Macaca mulatta: one gene and its partner. The protein of the gene in region 2 purifies or fractionates together with the protein of the main gene of each other region. This does not show direct contact. Links are inferred from orthologs where the notes say so. Each region holds a gene or a part of one and is shown on either strand. Other genes may lie near its edges.

Region 1 (4,334 bases), about 35 Mb from region 2:
ACATTCTCTGGGAGGTGGGACACACCATAGCCCAAGGTGACATCTTCCACCCTGTGCCCTGTTCCCCAATAAAAACAAATTCACAAAAAAAAAAAAAGAAAGAAAAATGGAAGGCTACACAATAAAACATTATTATTTTTTGTTTTGTTTTGTTTTGAGAGGGAGTCTCGCTCTGTCGCCCAGGATGGAGTGCAGTGGCGCGATCTCGGCTCATTGCAAGCTCCGCCTCCCAGGTTCATGCCATTCTCCGGCCTCAGCCTCCCGAGTAGCTGGGACTACAGGTGCCTGCCACTACACTCGGCTAATTTTTTTTTGTATTTTTTAGTGGAGACGGGGTTTCACCATTAGCCAGGATGGTCTCGATCTCCTGACCTCGTGATCCACCCGCCTCAGCCTCCCAAAGTGCTGGGATTACAGGTGTGAGCCACCGCGCCCGGCAATAAAACATTCTTATTGACTTTCGAGTGGCAAAATAATAAAGATCATGCCTTCCTTCCTCTTTACTGTGTTACAAATTGCATAATGAACATGTATTATTAATTATGCAGGGCAATGCATATAACTGGCTTTAGTTTATAAAAGAACGTACCAGCATACGGTCCATTAGGCTTTATTACACTGCAGGGCCATCCAAAGCAAGAGCCTCTAGATCTCAGCGTGGTGAACAAATCTCAAATGGGGTTTCGTGCTCACTTGGACGACATCGCTGCTCATCGATGTGTAGTTAACATCCTGGCAGACCTTTCTGCTGCTGGATGTGTGAGGGGCACAGCACAGGGCTCTGGAAGTCCCTGCTGACTGCTCGAAGCCTTTCTCCATGCCAAAACCTCTGACCAAATGCTTAATGCTATCTGCTCTAGGCTGCTGAGTCTGCCACACGTTTGACATTTATTCCCACATCCATCCCACGAAACAAGCAGGGCTTTCCATTTTACAGATGTGAAAACCAAGGTTCAAAGAGACTCAATAACCCACCCCAGGACAAGTGACAGAACTGAGACTTCTGACTCCAAATCCTATGCTCCCCCACCACACCTCTTTGCCTTTCAATTTCACACCAATGGACTGTCTGGGTGACCCTGGCATAGGTTCTTCTAAGAACTGGCTCTTAACAAAAACTTCTGGCCGTTATCTGACTGAATGTCACACACGAGTGCTGTAAGAACTTGCTTAGAGCCTTTTTCCTAAACCTGGACACCAGCTCTTGCCTTGTGAATTTCTTCATCACAAAACACATGTTCCCAGGGGCCCAGGCAAAGTCTCCAAGTACCCAATCCCCTTTCTTCAGCTGTGCCCACACCCTCAGCCTTCCTGTCAATCCAGGTGACCCAGGGTTACCCAGAGGTCCAGGCCCCAGTTGTTTACTTGAACATCTGATGTCTCCCAAACACCTGCGTGAAACGCTCTCTGTCCAGGATGTGTCCATAGCGCAGGGTGACGTAGAAGGTCTGTTTCCCGCTGTACCGCTGGATACGCATGAACATCTCCTGAGGCTGGTCCTTGGTTTCTGTCAGGGGAATCACATCTGCCAGGGGACAGTATGTGTCCTGCCGCCAGCCCCAGAAGCTCAGATGGGCCACCCGCAGCATGGTGCCAGACTCATTCAGATACAGGATACCAACCAGTCTCCGAAAGAAATAGCTCATCCAGCACAGCATGGTCAGGGCAAAGCCCGATATCCCACTCATCAGGCACACGGTGTTGAGAGTCAGGAGGCCCTGGGAATACCAGTAACAGGCTGGTGGCAAAACTACCACTGTCAGGGCAGTCTGTGCCAACTTCAGTCGAGACAGGAACCCAAAGATTCTGATGGCATCAAAACGGTAAAACATCCAGAATTTCTCAGTCTCTTGGTTTGGTGGTTTCTCCTTCGAGGTGGGTGACCTGCTCCCCACCCACCTCTTAGGATCCTCCTGCCCACTGCAGCACCACAACCCATGGAGAGGCCTTTCCCACGCAGCTTTTCCCCGAAATCTAGGCACAACTCGGAGAAGGGCAGCCTGAAAGGGAGACAGTAGACGATTTCTCTCATGGAATTCAACCACATTAATCACACGGTGAACATCTGCAAAGCACCATACTCCAAGGCTTCTGCCAATCCTGCAAGGTCACCATTATTGCCAGAGGAGGGAAGGGTAAAGCCAGATGTTATCTCATGTGGGCATCACAACAGCTATCTAAGATAGTTATCACTATTTCCACTTTACCACTAGGGAAACTAAGCCCAGAGAGGGTAAGATATTTACCAAAGAACACACAGTCAGTGAGTGCAGCAGAGTCCTCCTTCCATCAGGCAATTCCAAAGAAATACAAGAAAGGAGGTGCGGCCATCAATAATTCAAAACATATCTAGGGAGTCCCAACTCTGGGCTGGACAATGGATCCACAAGGGGGTGTGAACATTTCCCCAAGCAGGAAACTGAATAATCAATGTCTTAGTGGGGAACTCAAGCAACAAATCTGTGAGATAGTTATCCCAACAAACTTTCTAATTCTGTTTACGTTATCTTGGGTGCTGGAGGGAACTGCTGCTTTCCCTTAACCTAGTCAGGGGAAGGGGAAACAACGAGGAGGAGGAGGAGCGAGGCAGGGAGGCCCCTACACGTAGCACAAACATATTATTAGGTGGGTAGTGAAGCAGTAAAAGCTCTGGTTCCAATTCTGGCTCCATCAGTCACTACCTGTGGATTCTTGAGCAAATCACTCCACACCCCTGAGCTTCGGTTTCTTCGGCTTTCAAAATGGGGACTCAGAACACAGTGAACGAGAAGATGGTTTCAAAGCCCTCAACTTAGTACCTGATGCGCTGTGAGAGCTCGGCGAGTTTTAGCTATTACTACTGTGAGCACGTGACGCAAGGAGGGCAGAGAAAGCCCGGGAATGGCGAATGGTAACCCACGCCAGAGCTTCCTCCCACGGATTCTTCAGGTCCGAAACTCAGGCGTCGTGCCTGCCTGCCCCAGCTCTGACCCCGACCGACCCCCAAAGAGCATCACCCCCTCAAGGATCGCCACCAGCCTCCTTACCATGGCTCCACAGCCTGCTGCCGGAAGTAAGTCCCACCGGCCCCCGGAACCTCTAAGAGCGCATGCTCGAATGTACAAGGCGGGCGTGATCCGCGTTGCACCCTGGGATTTGCGGTCCAGGAATCGTGGCTGGCGCTAGTCCCAGGCGTTGTGGGAACGGAGTCTCCTCCTCTTCCCGACGTGCCCTGCGGCTCGGGGGCCGAACTCGGAAGTTCCGGGCCGAGTTCCTGATGCCAATGAGTCTTGCGAGGTGCGGTTAGACGCTGGGGACATGGCAGCTCCTGGCCCAGCGCTCTGCCTCTTCGACGTGGATGGGACCCTCACCGCCCCGCGGCAGGTAAGTGGCGCCCGGCGGGCTGGTGGCAGCCGACTCAGAGTCCGTGCTGTTCCCAGTTGGAGCTATCGACTACCCAGGGTCGGCGCCAAGGGCTGGCTAAGGACCGCCTGCGTCCTCACGGGGGCTGGACCCTATTCTAGGTGCCCTGGAGGGATGAGAGGGAGGCCCTAACCAGCTCTTCAAGAGCTCTGATGCTTGGAAAGATGAGACGGGGCTGAAGAACTCTTAAGAGAAGGAAACTTATGCTTGGTTGGAAAATGCAATCTGGACTCACCGCTAGTCCTCGGGACCGATGGACCAGGATTTGAACCCGACATCAGCTGTGTGCCCCTTATCAGCTGTTTGCCGGCCTCAATCCTGTAACCAATGGGCTGTGCCGTGAGTCATTATATTAAAAACAGGTTTCCAGGTGAAATCGACCTAGTGGAGTCTCATCTTCACCTCTTCACAGCTGTGTGACCTTGAGCAAGTCATTAACCTTTCTGAGCCTCAGCATCTACAGCTTTAAATGGGGATATTACGTGTTCCATATGGTGACTGTGAGGATCAAATGAGATTGTGTAAGTTCTTGAAAGTATGTTGCACACAGCACACTAGGCCTCAGTAAATAGTAACCACCTCCACCACACCCATCTCCAGCCCCTGCAGTGGACTAGGAAGATGGAGGAGCCCTAGGTTATTACAGGCTGCCCGCTGAGAGCCTCTTTGGGCCTTTCGAAACTTGCTTTCCACTTCCAGATTTTGCTGCTACAGGCACAGATAAGTTTCAGTCACTATCAGCCTTGAGATGAGGCTTTCCTGTCCCCTTTTCAGAAATTGGCCACTGACAACCGGCCATTTCAACTTGAGAGTGGACCCCAATGGTCTCACTATCCTCAACTAATATCCTCACCCCTCGTAGTCTTCGCTTGGTGGTAACAATGGTGTGCTCCAGAAAGCCACGTGAAATGCGTGTGACCTTAGACGTATCA
Region 2 (4,344 bases):
CCCGAGTAGCTGGGGCTACAGGCGCCGCCACCTCGCCCGGATAGTTTTTTTGTATTTTTTAGTAGAGACGGGGTTTCACCATGTTCGCCAGGATGGTCTCGATCTCCTGACCTCGTGATCCGCCCGTCTCGGCCTCCCAAAGAGACTCTGTTTCAAAAACAAAAAGAAAAAAAAAAGAAAGTTGACCCAAAGCTATGCATATATTGAGTACTCACTCGTTACATGTCTAATTGTAAAGACCACCTAAGATTCTCCTGTACTTTTCCCTCTGCTTAGTATTTACCACAATTTACCACAAAGTTATTAATATGATTATATATTCAACAGATCTCTCCCTGGACTGTAAACTCCATAAGGACGGGGAGAGAGGACAGGAATCAAATTGTCTTGATTATTGTTTTATTCCAATGCCCAGCACTGTACCTAGTACTCAACAAATATTTGCAAAAGAATCTTTGTTAAATACAAGTTTCCAAACATTTCCATAGTGCTTATTATCTGCCAGTCTCTGTTCTTAGCACCTTAAACATATGAACACATTTAGTTTTCGTAACAACTCCATGAGGTATATACTATCAATGTCCCCACTTCACTGATGAGGAAACTAAGGCAGGGAGATTAGGTTCTTAAGCGATTCTGTTTTATCAAATATAGACACACATTTGTTCCAAAACATTAACTGGTCTCTGTCTATGACAGGAGCTATGGGAGGTGCTGGGGACACAAAATAAAATCGTGGTTAATACTTTTTGAGTACCTACTATATGTCAGGCTTGGTGTTAGGCACTTTATAGAACTTTATGAACTTTACAGAACTTACAATATCCTTAATCACATTTGATTATTTGTACTCAGTGTTACTTACTGATTGCTTGCTTGATTGATTGATTGAGACAGGGTCTCGCTCTGTCGCCCAGGATGGAGTGCAGTAGCAGGATCACGGCTCACTGTAGCCTCAAACTCCTGGGGTCAAGTGATCTTCCCGCTTTAACCTCCTGAGTAGCTGGGACTACGCACACACGCCACTGTGCCCAGCTAATTTTTAATTTTTTGCGGGGGAAGGGTCGGGGGGGTGGAGTGTTTTCCTATGTTGCCCAAGATGGTCTCGAACTTCTGGCCTCAAGTGATCCTCCCGCCTGGGTCGGCGTTACTATTCTAGTCCAGCCTCCTACTTTCCCAGTAACCCACAAGACTCCGCCCCTTTGCAGAAGCTGGCCCCGCCCATGCCCTCTTCCACGCCTGCGCCACCCCCCCACCCGACCCCGACCCAGCAGACGACGCGCCGCGCGCCTGCGCACGGTTTCCCCATGTGTTCTCCAGCAGTCAGCAGGCCCAGCTGAGCAGCAGCCACGGACGTTGCTTGTCACCGGCGCGGCAGCCTCCACCGCCTGCTGTTGCCCTCCTCTCTCGGTGGTCTGTCAGCACAGCGCACGTCGGCATGGGTAAGAGCCGGACGAAGCGCTTCAAGCGACCTCAGTTCTCCCCTACGGGCGACTGTCAGGCCGAGGCGGCTGCGGCGGCGAATGGGACCGGAGGCGAGGAGGACGACGGGCCAGCGGCGGAGCTGCTGGAAAAGGTGAGGCGAGGGCTCCGCCGGGCCGGGAGAGCGAGACGAGGTTGCCCCGCGCGCGTGCGCACTGCTCTCCTTCTGACCCTCCTCGCTCTCCTCCCCAGCTCCAGCACCCGAGCGCCGAGGTCCGCGAGTGCGCCTGCGCGGGGCTGGCCCGGCTGGTGCAGCAGCGGCCGGCACTCCCGGGCCTGGCGCGCCGAGACGCCGTGCGCCGCCTCGGGCCGCTGCTGCTGGACCCTAGCCTGGCAGTCAGGGAGACTGCAGCCGGCGCGCTGAGGTGAGCCGGGAAGGGTCCGGGGCGGTGCCCACTTCTAGCCTCCCCCGCGCCTGGGCTGCGGGCGGTCGCAGCGGTCAGCCAGCGCCTTCTGTGTGCCACCAGGCCCTGGCCCGGTCTCCCGTTTGCAGAGATTTGAAGCCAGTCTCCAGGCTCCAGAGAACCCCAGTATCCCCGAACCACACGCATCTCATCTGTCCACCTGGCTGCTTCACCTGCAGCGTCCACCTGCTCAAGCGTCACGCCTGCGCACGTTTTACCCTCTCCAAAAGCCCTCCTTAGGGTCCCTTGCTTGGATGAACTCTTCAATTCATGTGTCAGGATTCGTTCTAGATGCAGGGAATTTTGAGCAGCCAAGACTGTTGAGCGAGATCTGTTGACAGCCAAGATCCCCTGTCTTGGCACAAGTCATGTTGATGGGGAGACAGACAGGAAGCTAGTAAAAAGGTAAAACATAATATTGCATAGTGAGAATTGCTGTGGGAAAACGAGATGATGATGAGTTGGGGGTGGGAAGTTTGAATTGGGTGCTCTTGGGCCGGGCGCGGTGGCTCACGCCTGTAATCCCATTGCTTTGGGAGGCCAAGGAAGGAGGATCACTGGAGGCCAGGAGTCCAAGGCCAGTCTGGGCAACATAGCAAGACCCCGTCTCTAGAACAATTTTAAACAATTAGTCAGGCATGGTGGTGGGTGCCCTTTATCCCAGCTACTCAGGAGACTGGGGTGGGAGTATCGCTTCAGCCCAGGAGTTCGAGGCTGCAGTGAGGCATGATCACACCACTGCACTCCAGCCTGGGTGATAGAGCAAGACCCTGTGTCAAAAAAAAAAAAAAAAAAAAAGGTGCTCTTTAGATGGCTTGTGAACGGAGATCTGCAGGGTGAGAGAGCCAGGAGACATGGGAAAATAGGGGGAAGAGCATTTCCCACAAAGGGAGCAGCAGCAGCAAAGAAGCGAAGCAGCAGGCGGCTTGATGTGGTTAAAGAGCAGAGCGGGTAGGTAGGTGGCAGAAAAGAGCAGGGGTGGGTAATTACAAGAGGTGAGGCTGGAGAGAGAGATGAGCTGTACGATTGGTGTAGGGCTGAGGACTTAATCTAAGCAGGGAAGAGACATGCTGTAACTCACCTTTTGAGAAGGCCACTCTGCTGGCTGTGCAGAGAATGGACTGCAGAGGGGGCAAGAGTAGAAGTTAGTATTTGTAGTTCTTGTAGCTCTGTCTCTACTTGTTATTTATATTTCATTCACTGATATAGCAAATATGTATAAAGTGCCTGTGTGCTAGACACTGAGCTAGGCTGTGGGCATGGGGTAATGAGCAAGGCAATGTCTCTCCTTAAGAAATCTTAAAGTTATTGAGGGAGATAAGCATTAACCAAACAGTTACATAAGTGTATAATTACAATGAATGATAGTGACAAAGGATGCTACAGGAGGGTACAAACAAAGGGTTCAGGGAAGAAGACTCTGAGTGAGTGGTGCTGGAGGTGAGCTCTGAGGGATGAATGGGCATTCACCAGTTGATGGAGGGAAGATAGACGCTCTTCTTCCTCTAGGGAGGAAACAGCATGTGGAAAGCCCTTCCCTTCCTCCCACAGCATACACAGGCTAGGGGATCCTGGCGGATTGTGAGGGCATCTTCTGACTATCTCTATATCCTTAGGTACTAGCACAGTGCTGTGTACTCGGAAGTCATGTCTTTCCAATTAAATTTACCCAGGGCTGCTTTAGGGGGTATCATTCTCAGTAGCCCCACCTTGCTGCCCTTGCAGTTCACTTTTTCTTTTTTTTTTTTTTTTTCTTGTTTTAGAAGCAGGGTCTCCCTGTGTTGCCCAGGCTGGTCTTGAACTCCTGAGCTCAAGTAATCCTCCCACCTAGGCCTCCCAAAGTGCTGGGATTACAGGTGTGAGCTACAGCACCTAGCCTTGCCCTTGTAGTCTTGATTCCAAGAAAAGGTCCCTTCATACATGATGTGATTTATTCACATGGGAAAAGTCTCCCCACTTCCCTTCTTGTAGCCATGTACCTGTATACTGTCTCAAACCTCAGAACTAAGTTGTTATATGACAGCGTCATCTGTTTATATCTTGTAGAACAAAGATCAGAACAGAACAGGTGGGGCCGGGCACGGTGGCTCAAGCCTGTAATCCCAGCACTTTGGGAGGCCGAGATGGGCGGATCACGAGGTCAGGAGATCGAGACCATCCTGGCTAACATGGTGAAACCTCGTCTCTACTAAGAAATACAAAAAATAGCCGGGCGAGGTGGCAGCGCCTGTAGTCCCAGCTACTCGGGAGGCTGAGGCCGGAGAATGGCGTGAACCCGGGAGGCGGAGCTTGCAGTGAGCTGAGATCCGGCCACTGCACTCCAGCCTGGGCTACAGAGCGAGACTCCGTCTCAAAAAAAAAAAAAAAAAAAAAAAAAAAAAAAAAAAAAAAGAACAGAACAGGTGGAAATATCTGGATTGGTTCTGCAGCATATGACAGAAACAATAAGCTATTTCCT

What was found.
Region 1: the proteins of HEATR3 (region 2) and TMEM186 purify together in Homo sapiens (co-immunoprecipitation; 3 studies listed by BioGRID and IntAct, counting the BioPlex papers as one, with this or other methods). This does not show direct contact. The link is inferred for Macaca mulatta from reciprocal best matches to the Homo sapiens genes HEATR3 and TMEM186.

What each region holds. Positions count from the first base shown.
Region 1 is NC_133425.1:10,021,207-10,025,540, forward strand, and holds TMEM186 (transmembrane protein 186), read right to left. Parts: upstream 3,055-4,334; 5' UTR 3,030-3,054; coding exon 3,027-3,029; intron 2,001-3,026; coding exon 1,362-2,000; 3' UTR 595-1,361; downstream 1-594. Other genes in the region: PMM2 (phosphomannomutase 2), read left to right, coding at 3,298-3,363. UniProt on the Homo sapiens protein: As part of the MCIA complex, required for efficient assembly of the mitochondrial complex I.
Region 2 is NC_133425.1:45,505,983-45,510,326, forward strand, and holds the start of HEATR3 (HEAT repeat-containing protein 3), read left to right. Parts: upstream 1-1,298; 5' UTR 1,299-1,438; coding exon 1,439-1,576; intron 1,577-1,674; coding exon 1,675-1,847; exon of another isoform or gene 1,848-2,291; intron 2,292-4,344. UniProt on the Homo sapiens protein: Plays a role in ribosome biogenesis and in nuclear import of the 60S ribosomal protein L5/large ribosomal subunit protein uL18 (RPL5). Required for proper erythrocyte maturation.